Linked DNA regions of Kluyveromyces lactis. The protein of the gene in region 4 interacts with the protein of the main gene of each other region in a pairwise test. Links are inferred from orthologs where the notes say so. Each region holds a gene or a part of one and is shown on either strand. Other genes may lie near its edges.

Evidence for each region.
Region 1: the proteins of SKP1 (region 4) and HRT1 interact in binary tests that used the Schizosaccharomyces pombe proteins (3 or more experiments, as listed by UniProt). The link is inferred for Kluyveromyces lactis from reciprocal best matches to the Schizosaccharomyces pombe genes skp1 and rbx1.
Region 2: the proteins of SKP1 (region 4) and TFB3 interact in binary tests that used the Schizosaccharomyces pombe proteins (3 or more experiments, as listed by UniProt). The link is inferred for Kluyveromyces lactis from reciprocal best matches to the Schizosaccharomyces pombe genes skp1 and pmh1.
Region 3: the proteins of SKP1 (region 4) and CDC4 interact in binary tests that used the Schizosaccharomyces pombe proteins (3 or more experiments, as listed by UniProt). The link is inferred for Kluyveromyces lactis from reciprocal best matches to the Schizosaccharomyces pombe genes skp1 and pop2.
Region 5: the proteins of SKP1 (region 4) and MET30 interact in a two-hybrid assay, tested with the Schizosaccharomyces pombe proteins (2 studies listed by BioGRID). The link is inferred for Kluyveromyces lactis from reciprocal best matches to the Schizosaccharomyces pombe genes skp1 and pof1.

What each region holds. Positions count from the first base shown.
Region 1 is NC_006041.1:649,014-654,460, forward strand, and holds HRT1 (SCF ubiquitin ligase complex subunit HRT1), read left to right. Parts: upstream 1-2,460; coding exon 2,461-2,793; downstream 2,794-5,447. Other genes in the region: mediator complex subunit MED7, read right to left, coding at 1,243-1,884; prephenate dehydratase PHA2, read right to left, coding at 3,142-4,077; ATP11 (Atp11p), read right to left, coding at 4,464-5,420. UniProt on the Schizosaccharomyces pombe protein: Component of E3 ubiquitin ligase SCF complexes, which mediate the ubiquitination and subsequent proteasomal degradation of target proteins.
Region 2 is NC_006039.1:1,294,470-1,300,590, forward strand, and holds TFB3 (TFIIH/NER complex subunit TFB3), read left to right. Parts: upstream 1-2,872; coding exon 2,873-3,829; downstream 3,830-6,121. Other genes in the region: PMT7 (putative dolichyl-phosphate-mannose--protein mannosyltransferase), read right to left, coding at 1-133; KLLA0_C14850g (uncharacterized protein), read left to right, coding at 684-2,567; CGI121 (Cgi121p), read right to left, coding at 4,021-4,494; LFT1 (Lft1p), read left to right, coding at 4,743-5,807; KLLA0_C14916g (uncharacterized protein), read right to left, coding at 5,851-6,111. UniProt on the Schizosaccharomyces pombe protein: Acts as a component of the general transcription and DNA repair factor IIH (TFIIH or factor B), which is essential for both basal and activated transcription, and is involved in nucleotide excision repair (NER) of damaged DNA.
Region 3 is NC_006040.1:645,684-652,756, reverse strand, and holds CDC4 (SCF ubiquitin ligase complex subunit CDC4), read left to right. Parts: upstream 1-2,829; coding exon 2,830-4,773; downstream 4,774-7,073. Other genes in the region: KLLA0_D07579g (uncharacterized protein), read right to left, coding at 546-839; KLLA0_D07568g (FAD-dependent oxidoreductase), read right to left, coding at 1,019-2,131; KLLA0_D07524g (uncharacterized protein), read left to right, coding at 5,332-5,739; cohesin subunit SMC1, read left to right, coding at 6,275-7,073. UniProt on the Schizosaccharomyces pombe protein: Involved in maintenance of ploidy through proteasome dependent degradation of CDK inhibitor rum1 and S-phase initiator cdc18.
Region 4 is NC_006041.1:1,505,774-1,511,559, reverse strand, and holds SKP1 (SCF ubiquitin ligase subunit SKP1), read left to right. Parts: upstream 1-3,126; coding exon 3,127-3,675; downstream 3,676-5,786. Other genes in the region: KLLA0_E16985g (uncharacterized protein), read left to right, coding at 407-925; PEX3 (Pex3p), read left to right, coding at 1,370-2,821; YSP2 (Ysp2p), read left to right, coding at 4,040-5,786. UniProt on the Schizosaccharomyces pombe protein: Required for cig2 degradation in the G2 and M phases of the cell cycle. Together with pof6, essential for septum processing and cell separation.
Region 5 is NC_006042.1:2,543,293-2,550,259, reverse strand, and holds MET30 (ubiquitin-binding SDF ubiquitin ligase complex subunit MET30), read right to left. Parts: upstream 3,728-6,967; coding exon 1,856-3,727; downstream 1-1,855. Other genes in the region: KLLA0_F27533g (CBM21 domain-containing protein), read right to left, coding at 1-803; HIS1 (ATP phosphoribosyltransferase), read right to left, coding at 4,849-5,742; SYG1 (Syg1p), read left to right, coding at 6,616-6,967. UniProt on the Schizosaccharomyces pombe protein: Probably recognizes and binds to some phosphorylated proteins and promotes their ubiquitination and degradation. Required for the inactivation of zip1 via ubiquitination.

The DNA.
Region 1 (5,447 bases), about 860 kb from region 4:
ATGTGTATCGAAAACTGGCATAAGTTGATCCGAAACACTCTCAAAAGAAAAGATTCAACAGATATTCTTGAAATCGAAAAGAAAGAAGAAAAAAAAAAGAAGCGAAGATAGCGTAGATTGCAGAGCGAAATGCTAGAGACAGAAAGGGTAGAGAAAACGATAGTATACCCGAATTGTGACGACACGTTGTCAGGTTATGTTTGTCCCTTTGGTTACAAGTAGGAAAGATGCCCCCAGGTAACAGTTCAGTGTGTCAACCCTTGGTTTGTCCCTCACTATATATATTATATAGGTGTAAACTATTCACGCATTGCTATACTAGCCCAAGTCAGGCACCACGCGGTGCGCTCTCCTCCATTACAGGAATTATAGCTTACTTTGGCAATTCAATTCCTGTTAGGCTTTAAAAAAGAGAGCATGTTGCCGAAAAGAAGGCTGACATATTGACAATAAAATGGATCAGTCCTGGGATCTGTCACGTTTATTACGGTAAACTAACCCAGCTGCCCGTTACAGCTCCGATTTAATCGGTGTAACGGTTTCCTCTCGAGGAAACCGGTGTGAGAGAGGTACTGACGACAGTTTCGCGCGCTATTCTGTTGTGTGTCTTTCGGATAATCTGCCTGGCGGTTTTTTCTATTTGCCCTCTGCCCGCCGTTCCCCTCTTCTGTCTCTCTTTGGTCTCTTTTTCATGCCTGGTCATTTGTTCTCCTCTTTGCCCGTTTAGGCCCTACACTCTCTGCACGAGTTATTCCGATCGCTAATTCTTTTTTTGGGTCTTTTTTATAATGCGTAGTGTGGTGTAAGGGAATTGTAGGATTTCTTCCTGTGGAATTAGTTTCTCCGATCCGCCATACCTGAAATCGAAGAGAAATCGGCAATTCTACCCCATTCTGGGAAGACAAAAGAAAAAGGACTTCGCGAGTCATGTAGAGCACGTGACTTGTATTTTAAACTTACTAGGTCTTCGTTACATAATCAGCGTCAGAGAGTTGGTATTAGGACTTTTAGAAATAATGAGCATTAGCTTCGTCCGACATCTTGCTATTAAATTTGTCTTCCCCCTTTGCTTGCATTGGGAGAAAGTTTGCTGATTTTCTTATTCTGTATACCTTATTCGGCGGCTAAATTTCGAATTAAATCTCTCAAGCAGCCGAACTTATGAAAGTTTAATTAAACATCTTGATACCAAAGTCTTCGTTTTTAGAGATCGCCTTAACAACTGGTATGCTGGGATATATATCACAGTTGAGCCAGCTTGGATTCCACTTCATCACAGACTTTATTGATGTGTTCCATTTCCTTGCGTTTATGTTCCAATTGTTCTTCAAATAACATGATTAGCGATTCACGACTTTGGTGCGGTCTATATTCGTTAAGAAGATGGTGAATATTGATGGCTATCACCCTTATCTCGTCAAGTTTTTTCTCATATCTACTTGAATCCACTCCCAATATTCCTATAAGCTCTAGGAAATTTAGTAATAGTGATTTCATTAGTTTTTTCGACTCTTGGATCTTGTTCTCGTAATTTGTCCCACTTTGCGAATCTTGAGGACTAGGTTCAACTTCTGTTGTGGTCCCGTTTTCCAATTCCGTGACAGATTCCCGTTTCCTATATAATTGTTCAATTCCCATCTGTGATAACTCCGGTAGTTCATCCTTAATTTTCCATACATTACCAAATGCTCTGTATGAACCATCCCTGGGTAGTTCTGGCTTCACAAAATATTTCAACTGCTCCCTCTGTTTTGTTGTACATTTCGCTAGTTTTTCTTCATCTTTGCCACATTCTCTAAATAGTTTTGAGTTCTCTTCGGTGAAAAATTGAATGAACGGTGGTGGTGGAGGATACAATGATGATACTTCGTTCTTGTCACTCATGGTCCTTTATATTTTAGCTTCTGACTGGCAGTATTGTCTCTCACTTTCACAATCACTTTCAAAAAAATCTTTTATTGAGAGGGATTTCAATACTTTAAAGGACGGTCGAGGTTCCAGTTTATCTTGAATCTGGACAGATTATGGCCACGGAGGTCTAACACAGGTCTGATATCGCCAACACGCTTTCCTGTGTTCACTGATTTATCACTTGTTTCTGTTTGTGCTGGTTACTATAAGTTGGATTTCCATTTCATGTACAATTTCACATCCGGGTAACAAATGTTTGTATTCACGTGATATGAATATCACTCTTGTCTCTCTTTCAACATGAATTCTAATGTTTCTGAACGTTTGGGCAGTTACGAAAGTCCATAGATCCCATTATAGTCCACAGGGTATATCTTTTGTCATTCATAAGACTACTCTATTCGATCATTAATAGTTTAAAAAAAGGTTTTCACACCCGCGTTTCCAAGGATTGAACGACAGTTAGACCTGGGACTTAGAACGTCTGTTTGTAATCTGTTTTAAAGAAGGAAGGATTTATATTTACCAATAGTAGCTGATCGTTAGGAGATGGCCACGGATTTGGGACCAATAGAGGCACAGAGCGGGACAGAGGGTGCTACTGAGTCAAAGCCCAATTTTGAGATAACGAAATGGACAGCGGTAGCTTTTTGGTCATGGGATATTGACGTTGATAATTGTGCCATTTGCAGAAATCATATTATGGAACCATGTGTAAATTGTCAGCAGGAAGCAACTTTCAACTCGGAGCATGAATGTGTAGCCGCCTGGGGTGAGTGCAACCACGCATTCCACCTACATTGTATTACCCAATGGATCAAGAGCAGAAATGTTTGTCCGTTGGATAATAAACCTTGGAAATTGGCTCGGTGTGGCAAGTGAAGATAGAGTGTTAAGCCTACAAAGATGCATTATCGAAATTTAATATCGCTATTGGACTGTTCGAACCGCAAAAAATGTTACTCAATTTAGATTTCCAATGATTTAATACCAAGCGGATAGTGTGGATTTAATATCTACCATTGGGAAGAAGCTTAGATAATCTGGCTTCTGTGTATATATAGTTACGTAACGAGCTTCTAATGGAATTATCGACAGGTTCGATCGGTCCCAAAACAATAGACAGGACAGCGTTGTTCCATGAATACAACTAGGATGCGTACATTCCTCTTCGATTGCTTCGTTTTTAAGATCAGTATTTGCATTTTGTTTCTAAACATAATGCATATATCATGGGATTTGGTAATACAGTGCGTTTCGGTAGAATTTACCCCAGTGAATCCATTTTGCGCAGTTTTCGTCAAACCTTTTCGCCAGAAGTTCGTAATCAGTACCGTAATTGCCATAAAACTCAATAAAGAAGCAATATTGCCATTTTCTTTCTGATTGCACTTGATTATGGAATGGTCTCGAACTGATTGAGCACATATTCAACTTATACTCCCTCAAGACATTTAATACATCTATTAAGGAACCTGGATCATCTTGATTTATCACGAAGGTGACAAAGTTTACTTTCATTTCATCGCCTTTAGGTGGGAGAGCTTGGCTGCCAATTTCGCTAGATTCGTCACGCCTTTTCAAGATCAAGAACCTTGTCGTATTTCCATTGACATCATTGATACCGCCTTCCACAATCGTAGCTTTATTTAGTGATGCACTCGCACGGCTTCCAATTGCTAGAGTTATTTTTCTATCAGTGGCATATTCAGCTATGCATCTTTCCACAGCCCCCGCAGTCGAACTGCAGTCGATCTTGGCGGTCTTACCGTATTTTGTTTCAAGATCACTGAGATAGTCTTTTACTTGGCCCCAAACTTGTGGATGTGAATATATAACATCAACCTTTCTTAATTGTTCTTCTGAGAGCGGTACTGGTGAAATCAAGCAATGGGCAATGTCGACGTATTGTTCACCAACAACCTCAACACTTGGACTTAAATCTGCTTGCATAAAATCTCTGAAAAGATCGTACGTGAAAACAACTTGACCGTTGGTGGAGTTTTCGAGAGGAACTACCCCGTAGTCCATATCTATGTCTGAAATGAGCTTTTCGAAACATGCAGGGATAGATGTCACCGGTATTAGCTCCTCGTTTGGAAATTGTTGGAGTGCTGCTTGATGTGAATATGTTCCCACAGGGCCCAAGAACAATACTTTCGCCATTATAAATGTAGTAGAAGTAAAACAAGGAGATATTCCAACTTCCAGCAAACAGTGTACAATGTGCAACTACTGTCGGGGCTTTGTACTGTTTGAGCAGAACGAATTCAATCGATTCTACTCATAGGTTGGGTCATCGATGCATCCATATGCTCGTAGCACTTCTGGACCACACTTAGTCATAGTGGTGAAATTCATTTTGATGAAGTACACGTGACTAAGAAGAAAGCCATTCCAACGCATGCTGCCCAACCTCGAACCACAGCCTGCTGCTACTCAAAACCGCATGCTGTTAGCATAGATCGAGTATGATGGAATGTTTTCTTTATACAAGCGACATGTATATATATATGTATATAAATATATATAAATGTATTAGGAATCTTCCACTACTCCATAACTTGAGAAAGAGCAACTAATAGATCAACATTGAAGTTTGGAGATCCGTTGGTAAAATCCTTCAAAAGTTGGACCCTCTTTTGGGCAAACCCGGAGTCTTGTCCCATAGCACCATAGAATCTTTGAACGTTCAAAAGCAATAGTTGAGATTCTGGTAGGGAAACATTAGAATCAGATTCAACTTGGCCGTTCATCAATACAATGTTCTTTTCCTTGGCCAAATCCAAGTGGAACTGTAGAGTAGTATGAGGTCTTGCAAATTCTTTGTGCAATTTATACTCTGCTAGAGTAGTCATAATACAGTGGACGGTTTTAGGTCCTACAAATTGCCACTGAATGTAATGCATTTCCATGGCCGGTTCTTGTTTCTCTGCAGATTCAGCAGCAGTTTCTTCAACTGCACGCTCTCTTGGCAAAGGGATAACGAAGAATGGGTTTTCTTTGGCTAAGGCACTGATCTTTTCCCAGATATCGATTGGAACAACAGCGTTCAATACATTGTCCTTATTGGCCCATCTGGCTCTCCAAAGAAATTCGCATTCTTGTTTAGAGAGGTTTTTCACTTTTTCCACATCCAAAAAGCTGTCCAAAGTCTTAAACGGCTGTTTTGGCATAGATGGATCAATCGGACCACGGGACTTAGCAATGTTAGATGACATTTTGGTTCTTTGTTCGTAGTCTTCCAATTCTTTCAGTGGATCAATTCTGTTTAACTCGAGTTTCTTCTTTTCAATTTCTTCTTTCAAAGAATTCTTAAGTTCCTCAATGCTATTAAAACCTTGTTCGCGAGCCTTGTCCAAAAGCTTGTCCTTGTACTGTTGTTCTAATGAATCAGTAGAGTAACTAGAGTTTGATTGGATTGATGACGCACCAATAATACGTTTGAATTGCGTAGCAGATAGTTGCGAGGCCGATCTTTTAACAACACGGGTCCAGCTTTTTATCATGTGTCCGAAAAATTACCTGGATAGATT
Region 2 (6,121 bases), on a different chromosome or scaffold from region 4:
CTGTTAAAGCACTCAATGCCAGGTCCCAGACGAGGCTATCTTCATATGGTAGCGAATCACCTTTGATAAATGACTGGTAATCATGTTTGATATAGGCTTTAAATCTGCCTTTTCGAACTGGGTTTGTACTCATCGTTAATCTCTGACCAGGATTGATCTCTACCTAGCAACAGGATCCCGTGAAGTACACTAAAGATTGATATTGTTTCTAGCCAATGAAAACAAGCTTGTTTGGATCGAATGTGGTAAGCATCAGTTCACTTTCCAACGTTAATCGAGGTTCCTTTATTTTTGTATCTAAGGTGGTCATATGAATCTATTATTAGTTGAAATATTTCAAAGTCAGTTCAAATGACTGTCACGTGAGAGAATGATCTATTTTAGTTTCGCAGCACGATGGATGCCACCGTGAACCTCCACGCATACACTGAAAGCAACTCGGAAGTTAATAAGCCACTATCGATCCAATAGATTCATCAACAGGTTTGTTCTCGAGAGCTTTTTCGCGTTTGTGTTTGTTCGAGTTTTCAAATTTGACACAAAATATTCAATAAAGACGTCAGTTTTATCAATATCGTAATCACTAAGGATGTCTGTCCAAAAACAAAACGGCTTGAACCTGAAACTAAACTTATGAATAGCCAATAGTTCAGAGTAATTTCAACCAAGTCATCAACTATACAATGAGTAAACCCAGGCTTGGAAATCCGAATAAGTTGCCACATGCTCTTGGGCGGCAGTTTCTAGATGAAAATTCGAGCACAACGACAGATAGCGAAAAAGAGAGTTTTGACTTCACAGCATTGATGAAGAGGTTGAAAGAAACCAGGAAGACTACAATGCCAAGAAGAAATACCAAGGAAAATTTGTTGGCCACTACTCAACATGATTTGAATGAGTATCCTTATCCAATTAACAAAAACAATGAGAATCAGAATTTGGAAATGAATAATAGCGATTTTGATAATGATGATAGCAAGGAAAACGATACAGATTCCGAGATAGAACTGTCATGGAGGCCATTAGATGAGATTGAATTGAAAAGAAGAGCCATTAATAAAACTGATAAACTTTTTAAACCGATGGGTGATTTGAATGGCGAATTTACATCTGAAAAGATAAGTGAAAAATGTGCTAAACTTCTTGGGTATCCTCTTCCTGATTACATCAAACGTCCACAAAGAGTTAGCTTAGTTGAAAAAGGGAATGTCATTGAATTCAAGGACTATCAAAATCAACAGAAGTCCCTTTTTCACAATAAAGATTTCAAATTCGAGTATCCTGTGAAGCGTGGACATGAAGAGGGTGAGGACGATAAAGAGTACTTTCAAGTAGAAGAAGTACTTCGAACCATCAAGGAAGACATAAAGCAAACGTATTCTAAAGTTGATAACATTAACAATTTCATTCAAAGTAGGATTGATACCGGCCATAAAGAAGCCAAAGCAGAAGAGAAAGAGAAAGAGAACAACAAGATAAGAGAAGAAATACCAGGAATGTTCCCGCAAAAAATTGTATACCTCAATCACTTTATTGATCCTCCTGAAAAACAGCCAACTTATTTCAATGCGCTTATGAACATGAAATGGATAGTTTCATGGCCAGTGAAATGGAAAGTTGCTTATTTTGTCACCGTACATATTTTGTCGTTCTCAGACGAACAATACACTTTCTCAGGTAAATCTTACGACCTACTGACTAATACCAAATACCTAACTTTATCTGAAGTTGATAGGCTTTTTGGTTGCTATATGACTATTTACGTGATATCAAGAAACATATATGATATTACTTTCTCCATCAGGGAAATCTATGATTATGCATACCAATACTTAATGGAATATGATGAATTGCATCCAATTTTGAGAAAATACTGGAAAGAGCTATTCATATATGGCCTAATGAATGCGATTCTTGTTTCAATAGGAGCTTCTGCCATACATTTATGTTTGGCTCCTGATGGAAATTCTTCTCCGATTTACACCTGCCTCTGGCACATAGGATTTGGTTCTTCCCAGAGAGTTGGATTTGCAGTAATGCTCATAATATTTTATATTGATTTGACACAAGAGGGTTTGAATAGGTTTAAAAAGCAAGCGGATGATCTGAAGGAACAGGAAGATTTGGCACAAAGAAGGGTGAACAAGAATCAGAACGCTAACATTTTCAAAGATAAAAGTACGGTAATGAATTTTTGCAAGAGCAGAGACGTAGATGAAGACATTCTTCTGGAGTCAACCCCGCCTTTGAACCCACCATCAATTTTACATAGCCCCTTGCTCAAAAAGTCCACAAAAGTTGAACAGAACGAATCAATAAAACTGGTTTCTGTATCAAGTGTCGAACACTTTGAAGAAAGCTACGTTCCTCTTCTGAGAGAAAGATTAGATGAAGAAACCAATAAAAGCAGTAAAACAATTCCATCAAAAAATTTTCTACTTAGTACCATGGTAAAGATAATCGTATTTACATCAACCTTCCTTCAGCAACCTGTTAAGACAATGAAGAAGTTAATGCCATATAAAATATACAATTCTGTCAGAAAGGCAATAAACGCCCCAACTTAGCTAATAAAAAATCATATATACACAATATAACCACATTTTGCTCACCAACGCAGTAGGTCTCCTCAGTAAATGCTCCCTTTACTGTCTTCAGTATCATTTGCCTGCCGCATAAGTAATCCTTTTCTCATCATTTTGTGATTTTAGCTGTCTCTGTCATACAATATCATTCAATATCGGTGGTATAAAACAAGAAACCTTTATTTGAAAAGTTGATGATAAATAATGAACAAATTGTAAGGACAATGAATAAGAAATAGATATCAAACTAAATCATCTGGGACTACGAATCAACGTGAATCGTCATCATGGATGAAGATGAGAAGAAGGACATGTGTCCTATCTGTAAAACAGACAGGTATCTATCGCCTGATATGAAGTTTTTGATCAATCCAGAATGCTATCATAAAATTTGTGAATCATGCGTGGATCGTATATTCAGTTTGGGTCCTGCTCAGTGTCCATACGAAGGGTGCGATAAAATTTTGAGAAGAAATAAGTTCAAGACCCAAATCTTTGATGATGTAGGTGTCGAGAAGGAAGTTGATATAAGAAAACGTGTTTTCAATGTGTTTAACAAGACGCTGGAAGATTTCGATAACAACCAAGACGATTATGATAAATACCTAGAAGAAGTGGAAGATATTATATACAACTTAGACCATGGTATTGATATGGAGAAGACCGAGGAGAGGTTACGAACCTACGAAGAATTAAACAAACAGCTAATCATGGCAAATTTAGAGCGGAGCAAACAAGATGTCGCTAACTTCGAACAGAGACAGAAGTTTGAAAAGGAAATGAAGTTAAAGAAAAGACTACTAGAGAAACAGATAGAAGAAGAAGAGAGGGCTAATAGGGAGTGGGCAAAGAGAGAAATTGTCAACCAGCTCACAGTGAATGAAGATGCTGAGGAAGTTATTGAAAATGTGAAAAAGACTGTCAAGCTAAAGAAATCCTCTGCCAGAAGGAAGCTCGAAGAATTAAATAAAGTGTTAAGAAACAATCCTTACATGACAATGACAAATGGTAGAATGAAGAAGAAAGATACTGTACCGTTCACACCATTCAATGGGGACAGGGATTTACACAAAAGATACGAATTGGTTGAAAACGAGTATAATGATTCTTTCATCAGAGACTTACAAAAGAAGAAGGAATATATAGCCTCAGGATTCAGGGCGGACTTCATTTATGATAGAATGTTAACAGAGGCATTCATGGGTCTTGGTTGTATCATTAGCGAAGAATTACAATCCTCTTAGTTGTATCGCGTTGACGGCAAGTGTTGATAACTCTTCGTTTGATACATCTCCTACTTTATTCAATTTGTAATTCTACCGAAAAAAAAAACACATAGTACAATGGTAAAGAGCTCGGTAGCTCTTTATCCTCATCATAATCATATAGCATTTAGGTTAGTAATCTATTCATTATTAAGAGTCTTCTCATTTGTTCATAACTTATCACAAGGAATACATACCGTTTTGATAATTTCTTTATCGGCAGATGTAGAAAACTCATCATCCGAGACTGGAACTAGGTCCCCATCAACGGAAGCATTGCCATCATAGGGTTCTTCATTACTGTCTTCAATGATTTTGATCACAATTATATCAGTTGTTCCTTCCTTTATACCAAATCTGTTCAATGCATCGCCAATGTTCGAACTAGGAGATAGTGATAAAATGCATTCAGAATGGATAGTTCTTGTCCGCATTCTATTGTACTCTGTTTCCAAAATAGCCTTATAGATGGCACTCGACAATTGTTCAACGGATATCACAGTTTTGGAGTCGATGTATGCAAAAGGTAATTCAGCCAATTTGGATCGTAGCTCAGAAGAATTGGTAACATTGTTATACTTCTGAACATGAATAGTATACTCCTGAAACTGAGGAATCTTGTACTTCAAAACTATTCCAGCCATTTGTCTTGTGATGAGCTCTTGGAACTTCTTGGATGCAAGTCGCCTACTATCGGTCCTTCTTTTAACTTCACTTTCTGATTATCTGTACTGTTACTGACTTACTATTTAAATCTTTCAAATCAATCCGAGTAGTTTCTAGCGTAGAAAGATTGATAGAAAACCATGAGTACACAAACTTTACAAAAGGTTCAGAACAAGAAAACACAATAAGTGATCACTTTGCTATATCAACGGTATATGTACTGTCAATGGAGCTTCCAGACGAGGAAAACGTTTGGGATAGTGTTTTTGAGGAAAGGCAGTTGAGCGAAGTAGTACGGGATCAAGGACCAAATGATCTCGAACGACCAGCAGCGCATAAAGAACCAATTGCTACCGAACAACCACTGGGGAATAAGCTTGAGAATCAGAAAGATGATGATGATGACGAATATATTAGAAAAGTTCGTACAGCTGTAGAACAATTCGAAAAGGCAGGCTTCTTCGAGGATTTAGACGATACTAAAAAGGGTTCAAAAACAAAAGCCATGGTATATAAGCTAGCAGACGAGGTGATAGCCCGACATAAAGACAAACTCTTACGCATAAGAGACCCAAATTATGATAAGTGGTCTGAACCATTAAAAACCCCCATGATAGATAAATATCATGAAATCAAAGAAGAATGGAGACGTGAGGAAACGAACCACGGTTCCAGTAGTTTAAACAACAGTTCAATGACTACACAGAATGTTACATTTGCATGGAGTTCAAATGCTCATCGACCGGAGCTGACCGCACCAAAGAAGCCTTTGGAACCGCATTCCAATAAGAAATCAACAAATGAAATACTACGGAGTAAAGCAATGAAAAGCGCTCATGAATTAAGAAGTAAGCAAATTCTGCTCAATAAACTGCGGGATAAAAATGATAGAAACAATCTGCCTTCACAGGATGGTGATGATGTCAAGCCGAAATTTAAAATGGATCCCTTGGAACCATTTGTCGCCAAAGCTTTACCGAGAGAGAAGAAGAAGCGACCAAAGGAGAAAAGGAAGAGCAAATTTTGGTTTTGGGGATCCCTTACCCATCATACTGACGAAGGAAACCACAGAGACAAAGCTAGGTCGCCAGAGCTTGAAGATTATAAAATTGGTGTTGTATCACCGAATTCGCGGTCCCCCACGTTATCGATTCCTTTCTCTGATCCCGATAACACTCAGACTATTACCAATAACGCAGTATCGGACAACATTAACCATCACCTGTCGCTAATAGACCTCGACGATGACGAGGAACACTTAAAGTGTTCAACGCCACCGTTAATACTGTGATACGTACTTTTTTTAGGCCTAATATATTTATTTCTCATCCTATTTAAATATCATCTACATTAGCACTGTAACTATATACCTTTTTTTGAGCCGGCGTTATTATAACTTGTTCTCTGCGTACCGGGGTAGCCACGATTGCCTCTGGTATGTGGTTGGTGCTCATATGACCCACTTGATTGCAATTTTCTGCTTGCTCCTCTCGTAGTGCCTTGTCTTCCTTAAGAACATCTGTATACGTTGGAGGATCCTCTGGCAAGGAACTTTTCTTCTCATCAGGATATTGCTTCTGATCGTCTTGAGACATCTTTCCGTAA
Region 3 (7,073 bases), on a different chromosome or scaffold from region 4:
AATGTAAGAAAAGGTAATCTTAAATTGAATTGGAAAATTTCTAGGTGTTATAAGTTTGTAATTTGGTACTAGCAGTTCATAAAAGATAGTAACAATTGCTTTCCGCTCTGTTATTCAATAAAAAGTTGTCTGTCTCCTAATTAGAAAAACAGAGAACGCAGATACCCAATTAGATCTCCAATTAGGGGTACTATATATGGAACCAATAATGAATTTCTTCAAATTTATACGTTCTCTAATGTTTTAAGTCTGGCTTTTCCACCTTCTTTATATCAGAAAACTTCTGTTTTACTGTTTAAGTTTACTGGACGTTATTACCTTTTGGTTGATTCTCTTTGATAGTCAACGTAAACTACAAGTTACCCGGATTTATAATTGGTTGCCTATATCCAGTGTGAATAAAGGTTGATATCATGTATGAATACTAATACTATCTTTTGACTATGTAGCAGCCTCTAAACATACACTATTCTGGTGTATAAGCAGCCAATTGCTCCCAGAAAACCAACGCCGGTCTAAAATAGTTGCTAATGGAGGTACATTTTTCAATATAACTGAACTTCCCAATCTTCGAAAGGTGGATCAACCTCGAAGGTCGATTCACAGTAAGACCTAATGTAGTCTGTTGCTCGTTTCTCGGCATGTTTGACGTTGATAACTTTCCCTTGTTCATCTATTTCCAACACATTCATGAATATGGCGTAAGCTTGCTCAATTGCACTGGGTTCCTCACCATATAACGAAATGTAATCTACACCCTTCAACATATAATGAGTTCCACTTACCATAAAATACGTAAACGTCCTGACGGCACCACTCACTTCGTTACTGAGATGCATACTTTTTTTACTTAGTAACAACCTCCGTTGTACAATCCCTTCATTCGAATGAAGTGTAATCGTTATTGATACTTTCAAATAAAGTTAACTTAAAATGCTGCGTGGTCTTTATTTACAGAATTATTTACTTTAATGTGAAATGTCCAGTAGGTAGTCTTTAATTTCGATGCAAGCGCACATCATAATTTTGAAGTGGAGAAGACGTTGTTGTACAATTTTTGAATGTGGTAGGCAACACCCATCGAGGTCTCGAATCCCATCCCACCAAGACCATAAGCATGAATAACTGGCATTTGTTCTCCATCAGGACTCTTATTGAACTCGAGTTCTACACGCGAACCTCCTACTCTTAGCGGTCTGAAACCAACGTTGACGTTCTTGATTTCGAAGTTTTCAAGCAATTCAGGGAAAAGTTTCTTACCTCTTCCAATGAGCTTCTCAGTATCTGTATCACGAGGCATTACACTATAATCACCAGGTTGTTTGGTACCACCAAGAATATAATATGCCTTCTTGCCATTCTTTCCAGGTCTCTTAATGACGAAGGTCCAGTCACCACTCTTTGCTTGATGTGTGATAGTCGCATGTGCATATGGTATGGTGTCATGCTTGTCACCAACATCAAGTAATAAAGTTTGACCTCTGACAAGGAAACATTTAGGATCTAAACCTCCTTCCCATTGTAACCCACAACCTGAAGCATTGACCACAATATTAACATCAGGGTAAAGCTCGCAAATATCTTTTAATTTCTCAAGCTTGATTCTCTTTACTCTAATGTTAACGTTCTGTTGCTCACTCTTTTTCATTACCTGGTCGTAAAGGAACAGTAAATACAATGGAGCATTCAAACACCACGTTTCATAGCTACAACCGAAAGTGACACCTGCAGGCAAGTTGGAATCTTGCTGTTGGAATTTTTCCAAGCTGGATCCATTATACCCTGCTCCTAAGCGTTGGTATTCGATGCTCGGATTTTCTAACCAATCGATCCCGTTCATGAATTCAACAGTGGCCTCACTCAACCACTGCTTAGATTTACGTTTGAAATAGTTATAAGTCACTCTGGTATATTCACTCTCACGTTTATCCGAAGCATAATCAGAATCTCTGTGTGGGAATGGTCTAAAATGAGCACCTGCCCATGGTGATGTGAACGTATGATTGATTGGCTGATCTTGCGGGAATTGTTCGGATACAATTGTTATAGTCCTGATATCGGGTCTTGTTTCCAGTAGTCTCAGCGCACTTGACAAACCAATAACACCGGCACCAACTATACAAACTGACATGCTCCAATATTCTGCTTTCTCAATTAACTAAACCTCGGCCGTGGCTGCCTATTTCCTGTTGTTCAAATTTATGAAACTTCTATTCATATCATATGTAAATCTAGTCAGATGTTTCATTCGATCGTCTTTTATGCAAATTGGAAATCACATTCAAACAAGAAAAGACGACTCAAACCCCCACATCTTAACCCGTAATAAGCAGCCAACTACATAGTGTTTGCGCCGGGAATTAACCAAAAAAATCGGTAGATTAACTAGGAACAGCTTCAAGGCATTTTTGTCCTGTCAGTATCGTATATCACCATTACAACCGAGATCGCTGCTCTGGTAATAATTACATTCTAACACGTGACCTGTGTTGCATGCAAGGTAAATACCTATGTAGGTCTAAAAGATAGAATGGTTTAGCTTAATATATTAGCCTCAAAGCGTTTAATAGCTAACTAATAGATGGCGAGAGTATCTCGCATAGATATAGGGACTGATAACATTGATTCAACAAATCTATGTTTATTTGCACTGTTATCGGCACTCTCAACCAAAATCAAAATTAAACTCTTGTACGATTTCTTTGTACAAAACGAAGTCACATCAACATATTGACTGACAGACGGAATATTGTTTAGCAGAAAGATAAGGAGTAACGGCAGGTGTGGGGTAGTCGTAAGTAACTTCCATTAGTTAAGGGTATAAGTAACATGGATCTCAATAGGCATGCGACCCCAGGGGTACCACAGTATCCTCTACAGAATGTTCCCGTTCCATACCGGTACCAACTTCATCCTCAGCCAGCGTCTCAGAGTAAACGAAGTATACATTATCCCCTTCAACAGCTTGACGACGATTCTGACAGCGACGGTCAGTATCACAAAAAGTTAAAGCCAAATCAGCAGGCTGTTTCCAGTCCCAACTTGATCGAGGATCAAGATGGGCCGTTACCAATATCGCCGATTGCTTCCCCATGTCACACACCTGAAGTGGAGGAACCAAGTATTGACGAAGTCATAGGGACTACAGTAGCTAGACTCAGCAGTACGACATCTCATCCAAATGCTTTAACAAGTCTTATATTTGGGCTTGTTTCCAACATGGATAGAACTCAGCTTTCAGATTTGGTCAGTATAATAACCGATAACTTGAAACGAGATTTGTTCCAATCACTACCTAATGAAATCACTGTGAAGATCCTATTAAATTTATCTTCGGAAGACATCTTCGCATGTTTGTTGGTTAACAGAAATTGGAATAGGTTAATCGAGGAGGCGCCTGTTGTTTGGAAATGGCTAATGCTTAACGAAGGTTTTGTCACCGAAGATCAGTTCCCGTCGTACTGTAACAGTTTGCCCAGTAAATATAAGCATTTGATCAACCCTGACGACAGATTTAGATTAGATTTCCTGGAGAACAACTGGTGTCTCCAGAACTGGTACGATCCAAACTATAAACCAGGGAGGACTTGTCTTGATGGTCATAGTACCAATGTTGTAACATGTCTACAATTTGAAAACAATTATATTATTACCGGAGCAGACGATAAGAAGATCAACGTGTATGACGCTGAGAATGATCTGTTCCTATTAGAATTAAACGGACATGAGGGCGGTGTGTGGGCACTGAAATTTGTGGACGGTAAGATTTTAGTTAGTGGTTCCACAGATAGAAGTGTGAGAATCTGGAACATCGAAACTGGTAAATGTACCCATGTTTTCAAAGGACACACATCGACGGTTAGATGTTTAGAAGTGGTTGAATATGGTGACAGCAAATACATTGTAACGGGGTCTAGAGACAATACCTTGCATGTGTGGAAACTTCCCCCCATGAAAGAGCTAGACAAGGGATCGCAGGAACCTATTTTCTACAGGACACCAGAGGAAAACCCATATTTTGTTGGGGTATTAAGAGGCCACATGTCTTCGGTAAGGACAGTGTCTGGTCATGGTAGAATTGTCATAAGTGGTTCATATGACCACAATTTGATGGTATGGGATATCATTAGTATGAAATTACTATATATTCTAACCGGTCACACCGACCGTGTGTACTCGACCATTTATGACTACAAGAGGAACAGGTGCATATCAGCAAGTATGGATACCACAGTGATGATCTGGGATCTCGAAAACATTGAAAATAATGGGACAACTACTACAATCAATGACGGTGCATCGATCAAAGTGGTTGGAAGCATGAAATGCCTTTATGGACATACAGCTTTAGTTGGTCTACTTTGCCTATCCAATAAATTTTTGGTTAGCGCTGCTGCAGACGGTTCGATACGCGGCTGGGATCCAAATGATTATTCAAGAAAGTTTTCGTTCCATCATACAAACCTGGCTGCTATCACTTCATTCTCCATGAACGATAACATTTTGGTTAGTGGATCGGAACGACAATTCAATGTATATAATTTAAGGACCGGTAAGCTGATACACAGGAAGCTACTCACAGATTCGGAACAAGTGTGGGGTATCAAATTAAATAACAGAAAATTAGTCGCTGCGATCGAGTCAGTGGGACACAGTTACGTAGAAATCTTGGATTTTGCTGCTCGGAATGGTGACAAGACTATCAGAACCCGGACTAGAACAAGAGTCGACCATCAAATATATCGAACGTCACTTTGGTCTTCCACTCTTTAACATTAACTATCAATTTAACTTGCATTACCACATCTGGTATCTCGCCGTATGGAAATATTCTACCATCAAATAAACTCTGTAATACCAATCCTCTGTATCTTTGTTCTCTTCTCTTCTCTTCAATGCCAGCAGACATAAAAAAGTTGTATGATTAATTTATCTACGGCATCACCTATCCCTAAGACATATATAGGAGTTTCAATACTATTTCTACGTGTTACAAACTTTTCAGCCACCCCAGTACTGGTGGATACAGTCGACTACTATACCAGACATATACAGTTCTCAACATTTACCTATCTATGTCTTCTTATCAAGATAGGGTCATCCCTAGGTGTGGAAAATTATGCCAAGGAATTAATCGGGTGTGTTTTGCGATGAGGAAAAAAGTAAGTTGCACATTGAAAAAAATGTCAAATTTACACAATATAAGTACCTCTTTCGATTTTGTCCACCTATTCTTGCAACATTCCAGTGCCTACTCAAGCATAGCGTCTTGGATTGGACTGAATCTTTACCCACTTAAGCACTCCCAAAATACCCCTCCAACACACTGAAATGTCATTGCAGCAAGAAGGATCATCATCGGCGTCATCATCCTCATCGAGAATTAGCCAGAGGAACAAACAAGTTGGGTCTCAGTCTGAAGAAAATTTAACCGTGGAAGCCTTAAGAACACAAGAACTATCAGTAGGTCTGATTGTAAGTGCTTTTGTACTTGTGTTGAGCTGCGGTGTCATTTTCCTACTAGGAGTCAACATCGTGATCCAGTATCGTACCATAAACTGGGGTTATGTACCAAAAGCCATTTTGAAAATGACTTACATATTGTTAAGCGTGGTCTCCATCTTCTATATTAACAAATTCAACCTGTACTTCTTCAGATTGATGAACAACAGAGACACGTCCAATGCCTACGCTAGCATCCCACAACTGGAGCCTGTTCAGATGAAAACAGGCGTGTAAAGAACCAAATACTGACTTTTCCATCCATCTCAGACATCCTCATATAAATATACATATAAGTATATCATCATATGCAGTTAATTAAAGCAAAACCCCAGAAAAAAAAACCGATATAATACGAATTGAATTTCAAAAACCACAGAACGTGTGAACTGTATATCAGGGTGTCAGCTTCATACCGATCTTGTCTTCTGTACATCCTTGGTGCAACTAGCACCTCCGTCCTCTTTATGGATGGACGGATTATAACGGAAACTTCCCAATTAAGTTACATAATGAAACACCAAGTTACCCGGATATGTTCGAACGCGTCAATGCAATATTTAGAAAATGAAAATAAGAAAGGCGTTTATATCTATTTACATTAAGATTTTTCGTGTTAGTTGAAGGATGGGTAGCTTATTCGGTCAGCTTACCATCTACATCAGCTGCAACAAGCCGCTTATAATTGAAGTTGCAGTACAAGTTATCCTAATAAACTTGTGATCATTTTTTGTTTTATTTCGCTGATTTGTAGAGATATTCGTGTTCCAAGATGGGTAGACTTATCGGGTTAGAGCTGCATAATTTCAAGTCGTATAAGGATACGGTGCAAGTTGGTTTTGGTGAGTCTTACTTCACCAGCATCATTGGGCCCAATGGTTCTGGTAAATCGAATCTGATGGATGCCATTTCCTTTGTGTTAGGTGTGAGAAGTAATCAGTTAAGGTCATCGGCGCTTGTAGATTTGATATACAGGGGCAGAATTGAAAATGGCGATCCAGATAACGGCAATGCTAAGAGAATGCACCGATCCGACGCTGATTCGGAAGCTGGTCCAGAGAATGCCACATATTCGGAGGAAGAACCAAGAAGTGCATATGTCAGTTGCGTGTATCAAAAAGATGATCTTGATGAACCAACAAAATTCACAAGAACCATCAATACATCTGGTGATAGCGTTTACAAAATCAACGATAGAGCTGTGAGCTATAAAAAATATAACGAGGAATTAGAATCCGAAAACATCTTGGTCAAGGCGAAAAACTTTTTGGTTTTCCAAGGTGATGTCGAAAGAATCGCTTCTCAGGGACCAGAATCATTGACGCTATTATTGGAGCAGGTTTCTGGATCTATAAACTATAAGAATGATTATGAGAAATTGAAAGAAGAGCATAAGCTGGCTTTAGCTGAATTCACAGACGCTCATAATTCAAGGAAAAAAGTGCAAAACGATTTGAAAAGTTTTAAAGAAGGTGTCCAACGGGATGAGCAATATAGAACGAGTTTAGAAATTAGAGATCAGTTGAAACATAACTTTATTTTATGGGAACTATTCCATATCCTTAAAAGAA
Region 4 (5,786 bases):
AGGCAGCGATGAGATGAGATGAGATGAGATGAGATGAAGCTGTATAATACCGAGATGAAGTATTCTTCACTGAATCAAAATTTTCGATCAATAACATAATACTGCGAATTTTTCGCAATGGAACAAAACGCATAATAATCTGCGTGCGTTTCGCACGTAGAAGTACTTCAGTAATATTTCTATTTCTTTATCCAGCGAAAATTCCATATTTGCCTGCCAAAAAAAAAAAAAAAAACGCAAGACATTACACACATTCATACCACATATATGGAGAACCTGTACTCAATACAGGGCGAGTAGTCCTATTTGGACTGTTGAAGTAACATCCACCCTCCGCCAGTATACTTAATTTCAACACTGGCCTAGCTCAAGAAGTACTTTAGTTTGTTTCTCGTCAGCATAGATAATGGTCGCTGATGACTTATCGAATATAGAGACACAGCTACGACAGGTTCGTGAGAAATATCGTGAGCAAGCACACTCGCTCTCGCCAAGCGATGCAGAATCATGGTCAACCTTGGCATCAAATTTGCAGAAAGTCGTCACAGAAATGGATCAGCTTTTGCAGCGGAACTCTAAACAGATGAACGTATCCTTCCTATTGAACCACGAGTCATCATCGCTTCAGGCTGGAATACAGCCACCGCAACCGCTTCTACAGAACCTATACCAAAAGAACGGGAACGACGAACAGCAGAACCATCTCAAAGTCAAACTCGATAGAACTGCGTTCTATTCGGAAAATTCCCCCTTCCAACATCAAATGGATCGGTCTGGTTCATTCAGACTCTGTCCACCTTTAGCACATACAAGTGCAGAAGATTACTTCCGCAACGATACGCAAACCCCAATTATGATCTCAGATGGCCAGATCCTGGAGAACTTGGCCAATCTTAAACGTCTCACTGAGATGCAACGCCAATAGGTGGATGTAATCTTCGTTTTCGTTTGAGATTCGACACATCACATATATGATCCATCTTTTATTTGAGTCATGCGAACGTTTTTGACCAATTATACACATATACACATATAATATGTATAGTAAAAGATAAAGCTGTAATGATACACTATAAAATATCTGTTGGCACCAGTTGCAGAACCATAGAGGTTCAATACCCAACGCAATTCTATCTCTTTGGTATATGTTTTCTCTTAAATCTGTCGAATTTGTCGCTCTTTGAGGGGGAAACAAAATTCGAAAAACATTAAAATAACTAACTAGCAAGTAAACATCAACATCAATAAAGTATCAAGACAAACAACGACACTAGGAAAGCTCTACACGCAATCTGACAACGGCTGTAGTGGAAAATCAATAGAAGAATTACATTGCTCTAAGTTATAAGTTATTTTTTTACCCCTCATCATGACTGGGAATCGATCTCTGGTTCAGAGACACAGAAAGAAGTTCGTTGTTTCTAGTGTTTTGTTTGCTACGCTATTTGCTACATGCGCTATTACGGTCTATTTCAGTAAAAGATGGTTGTACAAGCAGCATTTGAAAATGACGGAGCAACGATTTGTCAAGGAACAGATCAAACGGAGGTTTGTACAAACTCAGCAGGACTCGTTGTACACTCTTTATGAATTGATGCCGGTAATGACGTTAGTGTTGGCTAAGGATTTCGATCTTGATTCTATTGTAGAGGCTCTAAAGGGGAAAAAGTTACAGAAGAAGCTTTCCAAAGGTGAAATAGCTGGGAATGAGTTGGAAAATGAGGGCTTAAGTTCAGGAATGAGTGCGATGACGCCTGCACCCAGTGTGTCAGCGAAATCTCCGCAATCTGCAGATACCACTAGCGTTTCTGAAACGTCTACGAAATCCAAGGCCGAGCTTTGGGACGATTTGAAACTCAAAGCTATCACCAAGATCATTATCTTGTCCTATACCACATCATTATTGATGCTTTTAACCCGATTGCAATTGAATATATTGGCAAGAAGAGAGTATTTGGATACTGCCATCAATTCTGCCATGGAAAAGGAAAGGGAAAAGAAGGCTAATCAATACTCAGTCTTATCTTGGTTCTCTAGTTGGATCACTGAAAAGAGCAACAATTTACCCAGTGAAAAAGCTGACCCAAGAAACAGCGATGGTACTATTGACACGGACACAAGGAGCATTGCATCCACTGCGAACCCTGAAAAATCGAGATACGTTAACGAACAAGCTTTCTTATCCTTATCGTGGTGGTTATTAAACCGTGGATACCTACAATACAAGAGTATCATTGAACAATTGGTGAAAGAAGAGTTCCAAAATTCGAACCCAAGAGATATCATGACAATGGATGAGTTCAGTGGCAAGATAAGCAAGATATTCGTCACCACAAACAAGCAATTCTTTCAACAGCCACAATCGAATGAAATGTTCATTTCATGTCTACTTCCTGAACCTAACTTAGAGAGATTTGTTCTTCAACAAACTTTAGAACAAGATGCTTTGAAAGTACTATACGAGGATAATCTATTACTAAAACAACTTGTACAAGAGACCAACAAATGCCTACAATCACCTGGAACATGGATTGTCCTGGAGTCTTTAATCGATGAAACATTCCACACAATCATGGAACAAATCGAGGATAATGTCAACAGCAAATCGAAACCTAAATCGAATGATGACGACACCAAAGTAGTCGATATATCCAAAAATTCATATCAAATCGCATTATTCTCTATCGCCACGAAAGACTGCACAAACGAAATGTTGAAAGCGGGACTCGTATCAATGAACAACAAGTTCCTACAGAAACTACACTCCATCTCGGCACTTGACGATCTCAGTGCATGCGTATATAGTAACTTCGGTCTATGAAAACCTTACTTGGCCCTCCATTCAAGTACTGAAATCGCTCCATACCGTGTATGTAGATAGTTCTATAGTTAACGTTACTCTTTCACTGGCACTACGGGGTTTCTCTTCCTGTTTCTTTAATGGCCACGTGATCATAATTTTCTTTTCCTTAAGGTCAAATAACGAAAAGAATCGAATTCCCAACAGGTTGTCAATCAACATGTTATACATCTCAGTTAATGTTTGCAAGTGGATAGGAGCTTGGTGTTTGTAGTTAGTTAGCACCATAGAGTTACCAAGTGGGTTCTATTTAGTACCAGAAAATCATGTCCAAGGAAAACCAGAACGTTGTTTTAGTGAGTGTTGAGGGAGAGAGATTTGTCGTTGACAGGAAGATCGCTGAACGCTCACTTTTACTAAAGAACTACTTGCAAGATCTTAACAGTGGCGATTTGCATGATGATAACGATGCTGACGATGACGAAGATGATGAAGAGGATGGTGACGATGAAATAGTGATGCCCGTGCCCAATGTGAGGTCGTCAGTATTACAGAAAGTGATCGAATGGGCCGTTCATCACAAGGATTCCAATTTCCCCGATGAAGATGACGACGATTCGAGGAAAGCTGCGCCTGTGGATCCATGGGACCGTGAGTTCTTGAAAGTGGACCAAGAAATGTTATATGAGATTATTCTAGCAGCTAACTATCTAAATATCAAGCCATTGTTGGATGCTGGATGTAAAGTTGTTGCGGAGATGATTAGGGGCAGAACACCTGAAGAAATCAGAAGGACCTTCAATATCGTTAACGATTTCACTCCAGAGGAAGAAGCTGCCATAAGACGTGAAAACGAATGGGCAGAAGACCGTTAAACTTACAAGTTTTCTTGTTGTTTTCTCTTTCTGTATCTACATCCTCTTCAGTTTAAAATAGCAATTTCCCTCATTTCCCGTATGTAATCAATAATTTAAGTACTTGCTTGTTAAGCGGATCTTAATTGAAGTAGTGAATTTGAGTCATGGGCAAACGCAGGGATCGCTTTCATATCGCATTTATAGCTTCAAGGTCTGTCTCTGCACCGATAATTTTTCATTTTTGTACCTATATATAATATTTAAAGAACGCGCTACCTTAAATTGAAACTTTTTGCTTCTGGTTTTATCTATTCAAGGCAGAACTGCATCGATAGATGCACCATAGGACCCTTGTTACTGGTATACTTGGTGTAGGATTGTGATGACGTTGACCATTGGTGAGGAGACCAAATCCAGACTAAGATCGCTAAGCGGGAATACTAGTTCGTTGCTAAATTTAAACAAACGCAAGAAGAAGAACAAGGAAAAGAAAAAGGATAAGGACAAGAGTCAACCAAAGTCTCAGGGCAATACACGTGTGCTACGGTCTACGAGTCTGAAACCCAATGTCAATGATGATGCATCTGCATTATCGTCGAATTCGAGCTATGATAAGGTGTATTTGATGGATGGGAGTGACCATAAAGCAGGATCTGCGAATCATGCCTCTGATAAGAACAATGTTTCAAGCACGGGTTCAGGTATCCAAAGCATCAAGATTCGTAGTAGCAGACAGTCTGGCGAAAAGTCAAGATCGAGGTCGCTGAGGATTTCTACATCATTGTCGAGGCTTCCGAGAAAGAATTCATTAAATGCAGGAAATGATACGTCTTCCACTGAGGGTTTCAATCAAACTGCAATGACAAGGGAAGAGAACACTGATCCATTGGGTTCGAGGTTACGGGTAAGCGATAGCAAGGCTTCTCTATCTGACGTACCATCAACGACTCTGTTCACCAAATTCAAGTCTTCGAAAAGTGATAGTGCGACTCCCGTAAAGAGTAAGCCAGACGAATCTGATTCCGGCCTCTTTTCATCGCTAATATCGGCTGCACATAACGCTGCTAACCATTTGATACCCAAAAGTTCACTGAAGAGTAGTAGCAGCCTTTACGATGAACCGTCCAATGGAGATAGAACTCAGTTGCTGACTTCTGGTATTGGTGGTACAGATACAAGTAATGATCCATACAACCATACAGGCTCATTTCTGAATCATTTAGACTTCCTTCTTGCTCCCAGCTCGAATAATGATTATTTACTGAAGAAGGCGACGACACTAGACACCCTTAATACCAGCGACTCCTCTACATCTTCCATTTCTCAACAAATGACTAATCCGTCTTCTACCGTGCCGTTATACGATGATAGCGATCAAGATGGTAATAACAGTGATGATATTGGTTCTGTGGGAACTTTCATGGATAAAGTCAAATTTACATCAGTAAAGCAAGATAATGCCCCCCCAATTTCGACCTTTGGGAGGGGAAATCTAACTTTAGATGCCATTGAAAAGGACAAAGATGATCTCAAGTCCACCGGCTTTCATACACCAAGTGTGCTGATTACCACAGACCAACCAGATCGACCGGTATCGTCTCCGTCCCCACTCTCAATGCCTAATGATGATGCAAATACGGACAGCAATACAAATTCTGCCAGTCCTTCATTCGAAAAAACTAGGCCGAGGAACGGTAGGTCAAGACGCCCCGAAGTGTTGAGAGATTTAACTATGAGATCATTGTCGCCTGCTGCAGCTACGAAATTATTTACAGCACCCCTAAGAAATTCATTTTCGGGCAGAAACATGACAAGAGCGAGTAGCATATCCAAGACCAGTGATATTGTTCAACCACCTGGAGGACCAACACGCCTGTCAACTTCGGACATTCCAATAAAGAGAAAAACTGAAGAACCAGAACTTCAAGGCATTGAATATGCAAGTGCTAAGCGTAATACAGATTTCCATACAATCTTTAAAGACACCGTAGTATCTCCAATTGAAAGATTAATAGCGGATTACAGTTGTGCTTTATCAAAAGATATTCTCATTCAAGGTAGGTTATACATATCTGATAGACACATTTGCTTTTACTCGAATATTTTGGGATGGATGAAGACTGTTGTAG
Region 5 (6,967 bases), on a different chromosome or scaffold from region 4:
AAGGACCTCTTTGATCCCTTCATATTCAACATATCATCGTCGTCATCATCACCATTAACTTTGGCAACAGCCTCTCGGCTTCTATGGCGTCTGCTTTTCCTTAACTTTCCAGATTTCGTACCGTACTCTCCTGATTCGTTTCTTAAGAATAACGGACTTTCGTCCTCCCTAAAGTATTTAACTTCAAACTTCTCACTTTGAGCAAAATGAACCGATTTAGACCTCTTGAAAACAGGAGGTCTTTGTTCCTGGCTTACCCTACCTTCTAGTGGAGAAGTTGGTAGGGATTTGCTTCGTGTAAGTAATATTGAGGGTGGATTGAATATAGCGCTAAGTTTTCTACTATCCAAATACCTGTCTTCTGGTTCATCATCATCGTCATCGTTGTCATCGTTGGAATTGTTATTGATTTCAACTTCAGGCACATCTGGTTTCGATACAGGGAAGTAGTCTTGCATGCTTAAGCTTGGGTCTGTTTCGCTTTCCCATGCTTCTTTCTTCAATGGGTCTGTTTCAACATCCCAATCTTCCTTCTTTGATGGGTCCGCATCTTTATTGAAATTTAATTTCTCGTTGAGCCGCCCTGCCAATTCATTGCCCACAGGATCGTGTTCATCATGTTGAGAATCCTGTAAACTTTTATCTACAATAATTTTACTTTTATTCAGATCTGTGTTCCGTTTCAAAGCGTCGTTCATGGCTGTTGTTTCGACCTGGCAGGAAATTCTTTGTGGTTTCCTCAAAAAATTCAAAGAGCTAAACTTGCCGCTTTGTAAATTCTGTACAGCATCTCGTTGGTACATCTCGCTAGACCATAGTAGATTTCTTCTTCTATTTAGATAGCCTCAATCTATTCTGACTTATCTCCAATTATTTAACTAGTGTCTTGATACGTTTATCAGGAAGATACGCTAGTAATCGAAAAGTGATTGTTTACACTAGCGCTTATTGCCCAATATGAAATGCTAAATGCTTTAAGGATGATAAAGCAATGAAAATGCGAGCAAACTGGGGTAGCTCGTTATATATCTGGTTTATCTTCGATCAAAAGTTAAAACAACAAAATTTAAAACAAAACCTCACAGAGTAGAAAACACCAAGACTATTTTTATTCTTAACTCGAAGGTCATAAAACACCAAGTACCCAATACAAACCTGTTCGACCACTGGCTCACCCGACTTATGTATGATTGAAGTCTTAAAAACAGAGGAACATTAATACCTTGCATGAAAACGTCTGCTCATGGTGACAACCCTTTTTTTCTTATTATTTCCTTTCCTTTTCTTTTCAAGGATTCCCAGTCACATTTCTCTACTACGATATTTTCTAAGCTGTTTGGTGAGAATCTGGAAACCAAAAGACGGTCATGTTGACAATGAAAAATGGAAGATGTGTTAGTTTGGCTTTCGAAGAAGAAAACGGTGCGCTGTTACGTTTCAACGAGGCTCATCATCTTAATCATTATGGTGCGATCTTATAATTAGATTCCGCGCATATACGACGGTCGAATTAAATGACGAATTCCACAACTTCGCATGCTCGACATTTGACTTTTTAACGTTGATGGTTTCGGGGTTAATGAAGCCAGGTAGGTACATTGATTTTAAACATTGTTCCGAGCACGATAAAACTTTCAGAAACTGATCGTTGAGTAATGTATTCGTTCGAAAAAGAATGGCATTATGTGGCCTCTGTATTTAGGCAGCAGTTGAGACTAGAAATAAGTTACAATATAAACTTTTGTATTTAGTTATGCTAGTTTTGAAGATGTTGAACACAATTGTTCCTTCACTTCTGTACCATTAGCTATAGTGTAATCGGTGCAACAATGCCAATGGTTCTACGACAGGGCTCTCAAATATCATCAAAATGCCACATTTTCACTTCGCCCAGCTCGTCTCCGCTAACAAATGAACTGTCACCAATTCCTACACATACAATAGGAGCCTTGTGTCCTGTAAAAGTTTGTATGCATTTACCATTTTGAAGATCCCAAACTTTGATGCTCTTATCGTGAGAGCCACTGACAATTCTGAAGTTATCAGCAGCGATATCCCAAACACCTTCAACATGTCCAAATTGAGTTCTAATGCATCTACCTGAACTGACTTCCCAGAGTTTGATGGTGTTATCCAATGAACATGAAAGCAAATGTGTAGGGTATTTCAAATTCGGATCGAATATTCCTGTACAGTCATCTGCAAAATCTTCTTCTAACTCTGGGTTGGGTACTTTTTCAATTTTTTCATCCACCACTAAATTTTCTGTGTCTTTGATCGTTAATGGAATAACTTTTTGCACTTGACCAACATGTCCTCTGAAAACTTTAATACACGAATTAGTACGGATATCCCACATTCTTAATGTTTTGTCGTCACTGGAACTGTAACAAGTGAAACTTTTTGGATGTAGTTTAACACAGTTGACCCATTCCGTATGGCCCCGCAACGTATAACAAGTCCTAGATTCAACATGCCACACTTTAACTGTTTTATCAGCAGAAGCACTCACAATGATTTTTTTGTATGAATCCACCGATAGCACAGAATCCTGGTGGCCTCTATAAGTTGATATACAGGACCCTGTAATGTAGTTCCATACTCTGATTGTCTTGTCTAAAGAAGCTGTGATCATTTTCTGATCATCAAAATAAATACCCTTCACACCATCCGTGTGCCCGGTGAGTCTTCTAATCAAATTACCAGATTTTGTGTCCCATATAGCCACCGTTGAATCGTATGACCCAGTGAAAAGCAGTCTGTGGTTGAACTTTAATGACAATACCCCATCCATATGGCCTTTGAAGAGCTGAATTCTACATCTTCCATTTCTCCAATTGGATTCCACTTGGAACCGTTCCCTATATATTACTTTCCAGGGTCTCGTATAGTACCTGCTATTCCTAGCCCTAGCGGCAACAGTTTGGTTGGGAGAGTTGCCAGGATTGATTAGTGACTTTCCGCCTCCAATTTCATTCCCGTTGCCGTTTGCAACATTTTGGAATTGATTGCCGTTTTGATTATGGACATGTGCTTCATTTACAGGTAAGTATCTTGCCCTCTTCATATGGAGTAAGGGTAGACCCCATCCACAGTTTGGACATTTTCTATCAATATGCTGTTCGCACATATGGTACCATACCCTATCGTCATCAGCTAGTGTTTTCCACCTCTTACATGTTAGCGAGGCGATGCAAAGAGACTGACAGTCAAGGTAACCTAAAATTTTCAAAGAAAGTTCCTCTGGTAAGGTTGAAATGAAATCGATCTTAATCAATTGTTTTACCTCATCAGCAATATAAGATAGCTGGGGAAAACAACAAAGCTGTAATATTCCTTCCAGCATTAATCTTCGTATCTTATCATTGCTATGCTGGAAATTGTCTAGCGTTTGTTTGATAATTGCTCGGTCTGATTCCTTGTCCAAAGCTTTCATTTTCTCCATCCACTTCTCCGACCGTACCTGATCTTGGAAAACCATCGAATCCTTACAAGTGTGTTGAATATCTGGATTATGACGGTAGCAGAATTTAAAGAAATTGAACTGAGGCATTTCACTCGGAAGCTGTATTTCCTCATTGTTTTGATTGACCTTGGAAGCTTTGTTTCGTAGAATTTCCCCCTTCCCATCAGTATCCTGTCGTTGATCTGACACTCCATTCGAATCTACATCTTCGAACTTACGCTTTAAATCCGGTCTGCATGTCTGTTGAAGGTTAAACTCCATTTTGAAATACGATCGTAACTCGTATGGTATATTTGAATATATTGATGAGATAAAATGATGGGGTATATTGACTCAAAACAACTTCCCTAGCGTTCTCTTTCCAAAATGTTTATTCTGTTCCTCAAACTTTTGTAAATATACCAGAACCAGTGATCAAAGTGATGCAGTACTGCAAAACCCTTCGTTTATGTCTCTTATCCACAAGGATATAATTCCTTTCCTTGATTCACAGGAAAATTCTATAAGAACACCACCAATGATGAGCACTAGTACCTTTCTTTACCGAAACTTGTTGTTCTTCCCTATCTGAGCTCTCTCCGCTGCTGATCTTTCGTTTGTTCTGAAAATTTCCAAACCGCTTAATACAACAAATATGATGCTTTATATAAATCAAACAAACTATTGGTAGATCGGGAAGTGAGACGCCCCTTTAAGGATTAAGAAGTCTTACTTTGGCAGTGTTTTTCCTTTTGAAGAAGTCCTTTGTCAGTCAAGAGTTTTGTTTAAGTTTCGATATTTTTACTTTTTTTCTCTGCGCTAAATTTCAGTACTAGCTAAAATCCGTTCTTACTATCTTTATGGGAAAAAAAGATATGTTTGTACTGCTAGGGTAGGTAAGCCACACTTTACAGGTTATCTGGCTTATTACAAGGATATTCCATGTTTTGATCTGACTAAAAGCCAAGAATATAACATGGCACATTTTCCCTTGAAAATCAGTCATTATATATGTATAGTGTAACCTGCTACTGTGCATTCGGTCATTATGCGCTTTTCTGTGTTCATCTCTGGTTCTTTCCAGCGGTGTCTCTGGTGAGGTAAGCTATCTGGATTTTTCTCGTTCATTCACGTGATCAAAATTGCCACAACGACAGAGACAGAATCGAAGACAATCAGTAAGAACGGACACTGGTTCGATCATGCAGGGCTGAAAGGCAGGAGTCAAATACCTACTATGCTGACTTCAAATATTGTCTACAACATGCAATATATTGCTATTGTCACAATTTTTGCTGTATCAATTTATCTATATTAACTTACATTATACACAAGGATACAATAAGGTGCCCATGCATAAGATTTTATATATATAATTATGGTGAGGAAAAGTGCTAATCATTTTAGACACGACAGTTAGAAATTTCGAATACCATGATATCTTCTGCACCGTTTTTTTTCAAGTCATCCATAATATCACCTTTGTTTTTCCTTTCGATCATGGATGAAACCGCTACCCATCCACTGTCGTTGATTTGAGAGATGGTTGGTGCTCTCCTTCCTGGAGTAATTTTTAAAAGTTCAGGTAATTTGTTCTCAGGAGCGTTATAACTACAACTGACGTACTTTTGAGCAGTCATGACACCTTCTATTCTTGATTTTATAGTTCTGAGAAGTTCAACATCTCCCTTTGGATTTTTGGATTCGATTAGATGTGCACTTGTATCCAATACAGTTGCAATAGCGGTCAACCCAGCAGCGCGCATGGTTTCTCCAGATTCGACTAAATCTACGATAGCGTCAGCAACACCTAAAGCACAAGATGCTTCCACGGATCCACCAACGTATTTGACCCTAGTGACCATTTCGGATTCAGGCACACCTTCCAATTGTGCGAAGTATTTTTTAGTCAAATTCACAAAACTGGAAACGATTGTCTTACCAATTAATTGTTCTGGTGAAGTATACTCTCCGGCAACAGGGACCTGGACCTGAAGCTTACAAGTCCCAAACTGTAAATCAATAGGTAAATTAACATCAACTTCACTTTCTCTGACTTGATCCACTCCCGTAATACCCAGGTCACATCTACCTTCTCCAACAAACATTGGAATGTCGGCAGCTGGTAAGAAAATCAATGCAACAGGCATATTTGTGGAAATTGCAATATCCAATCTTGCTGACCGGTGGAACTTGATATCAGAGCCCTTTAAGATAGAAACACTCTTCTCATATAATCTACCTTTCTTTGGAATGGCAAAGAGTAGCTTGTCGTTCAAATGATTCACTAAATCCATGATGGTTAGCAGCACTTCTTATGTGATTTACCGTTTTTTATTCAGTAGAGATGGACAGTATGGTACCAATGTACAACGCAGCTACTTACACATGTTAATGTATCCATTGAATGGTAGGATGTTGCATGAGTTTAAATATCGTCAGTGAGTCAAAACTTTTTTTGGAATTTTTCCAGCGTGAAAGCTTGAAAAAAAAAAATTCAAATTCCAAACTAAATAAAATTGTTCGAATGATTTGAAAGGACAGGTCATAATCAGAGATAGGAATTAGGAAGAACGGCAATTCCGCCACATGGGCTGCGAAGTATGCATCGTCTAAGCTTTGTGTTACCTCTGTAGGAATTTATATAAACTATATATAGCGATGCTTTGAAGCGCCAGATGAACGATCCTGTACATCACGTGAACAAAGTGAGGCAAGATCATAAAACCAGTAGCTACTGTCACGAGCTGTACATAACGCAACCAGTTTTTCGTCAAATATCGTCCATCTCTGTCTCTGTTTATATCATCAGAACCATTGATCTCTTCTATTTGACTCATCTAAAAATTCGCACTTAAATCAGCATACGCGTGACTACCAGCATCATGTTTGTGCTTTGCTTTCAGTATGTGACATTGATTTGAGCGAAAAATATATATGCGAACAAAAAGACATATAAAGAAAGGAAAGGATTTATGAAGGGATATAGTTGGTATTTACTTGGCTGAAGGCACACATCATGTATCTTTCCAAATTTCGACACATACACCTCTTCTTGTGTAAGGAATATGGTTGGAGTGTGAGTCAACAATATCAGGGCAAGAGGGTGAAGGTGATTTAATCCAGAGTCTGTTTAATTTTCTAATTCCCCTTGGGTATCCGGCAAAGAGATGAAATTTGCTGAGCACCTCCGAGAGTCTGTAGTTCCTGAATGGAGCGATAAGTATGTTAACTATAAACTCGGTAAGAAAAAGATTAAGCAGTTCCAAAAATTGAAAAAGGTTCAAGATGTTGGATCCATGGATCGTACTATTGTTCGTGAATTCATTGATGATTGGCTTGTGCGAGATCAGTTGAAGAACTGCGATGAGTTTTATGAATGGCAACTCTCTAAATACAGAGCTAAATATCATAAATTGCAGAGGCAGATCCATTTGTATGTGCTGGAAGCAGATAAGCGTAGTAGATTAGATTCGCTGGACGAGTACCGTATCGCCAGTTTGTCGAGAGCCCCAGATTCGT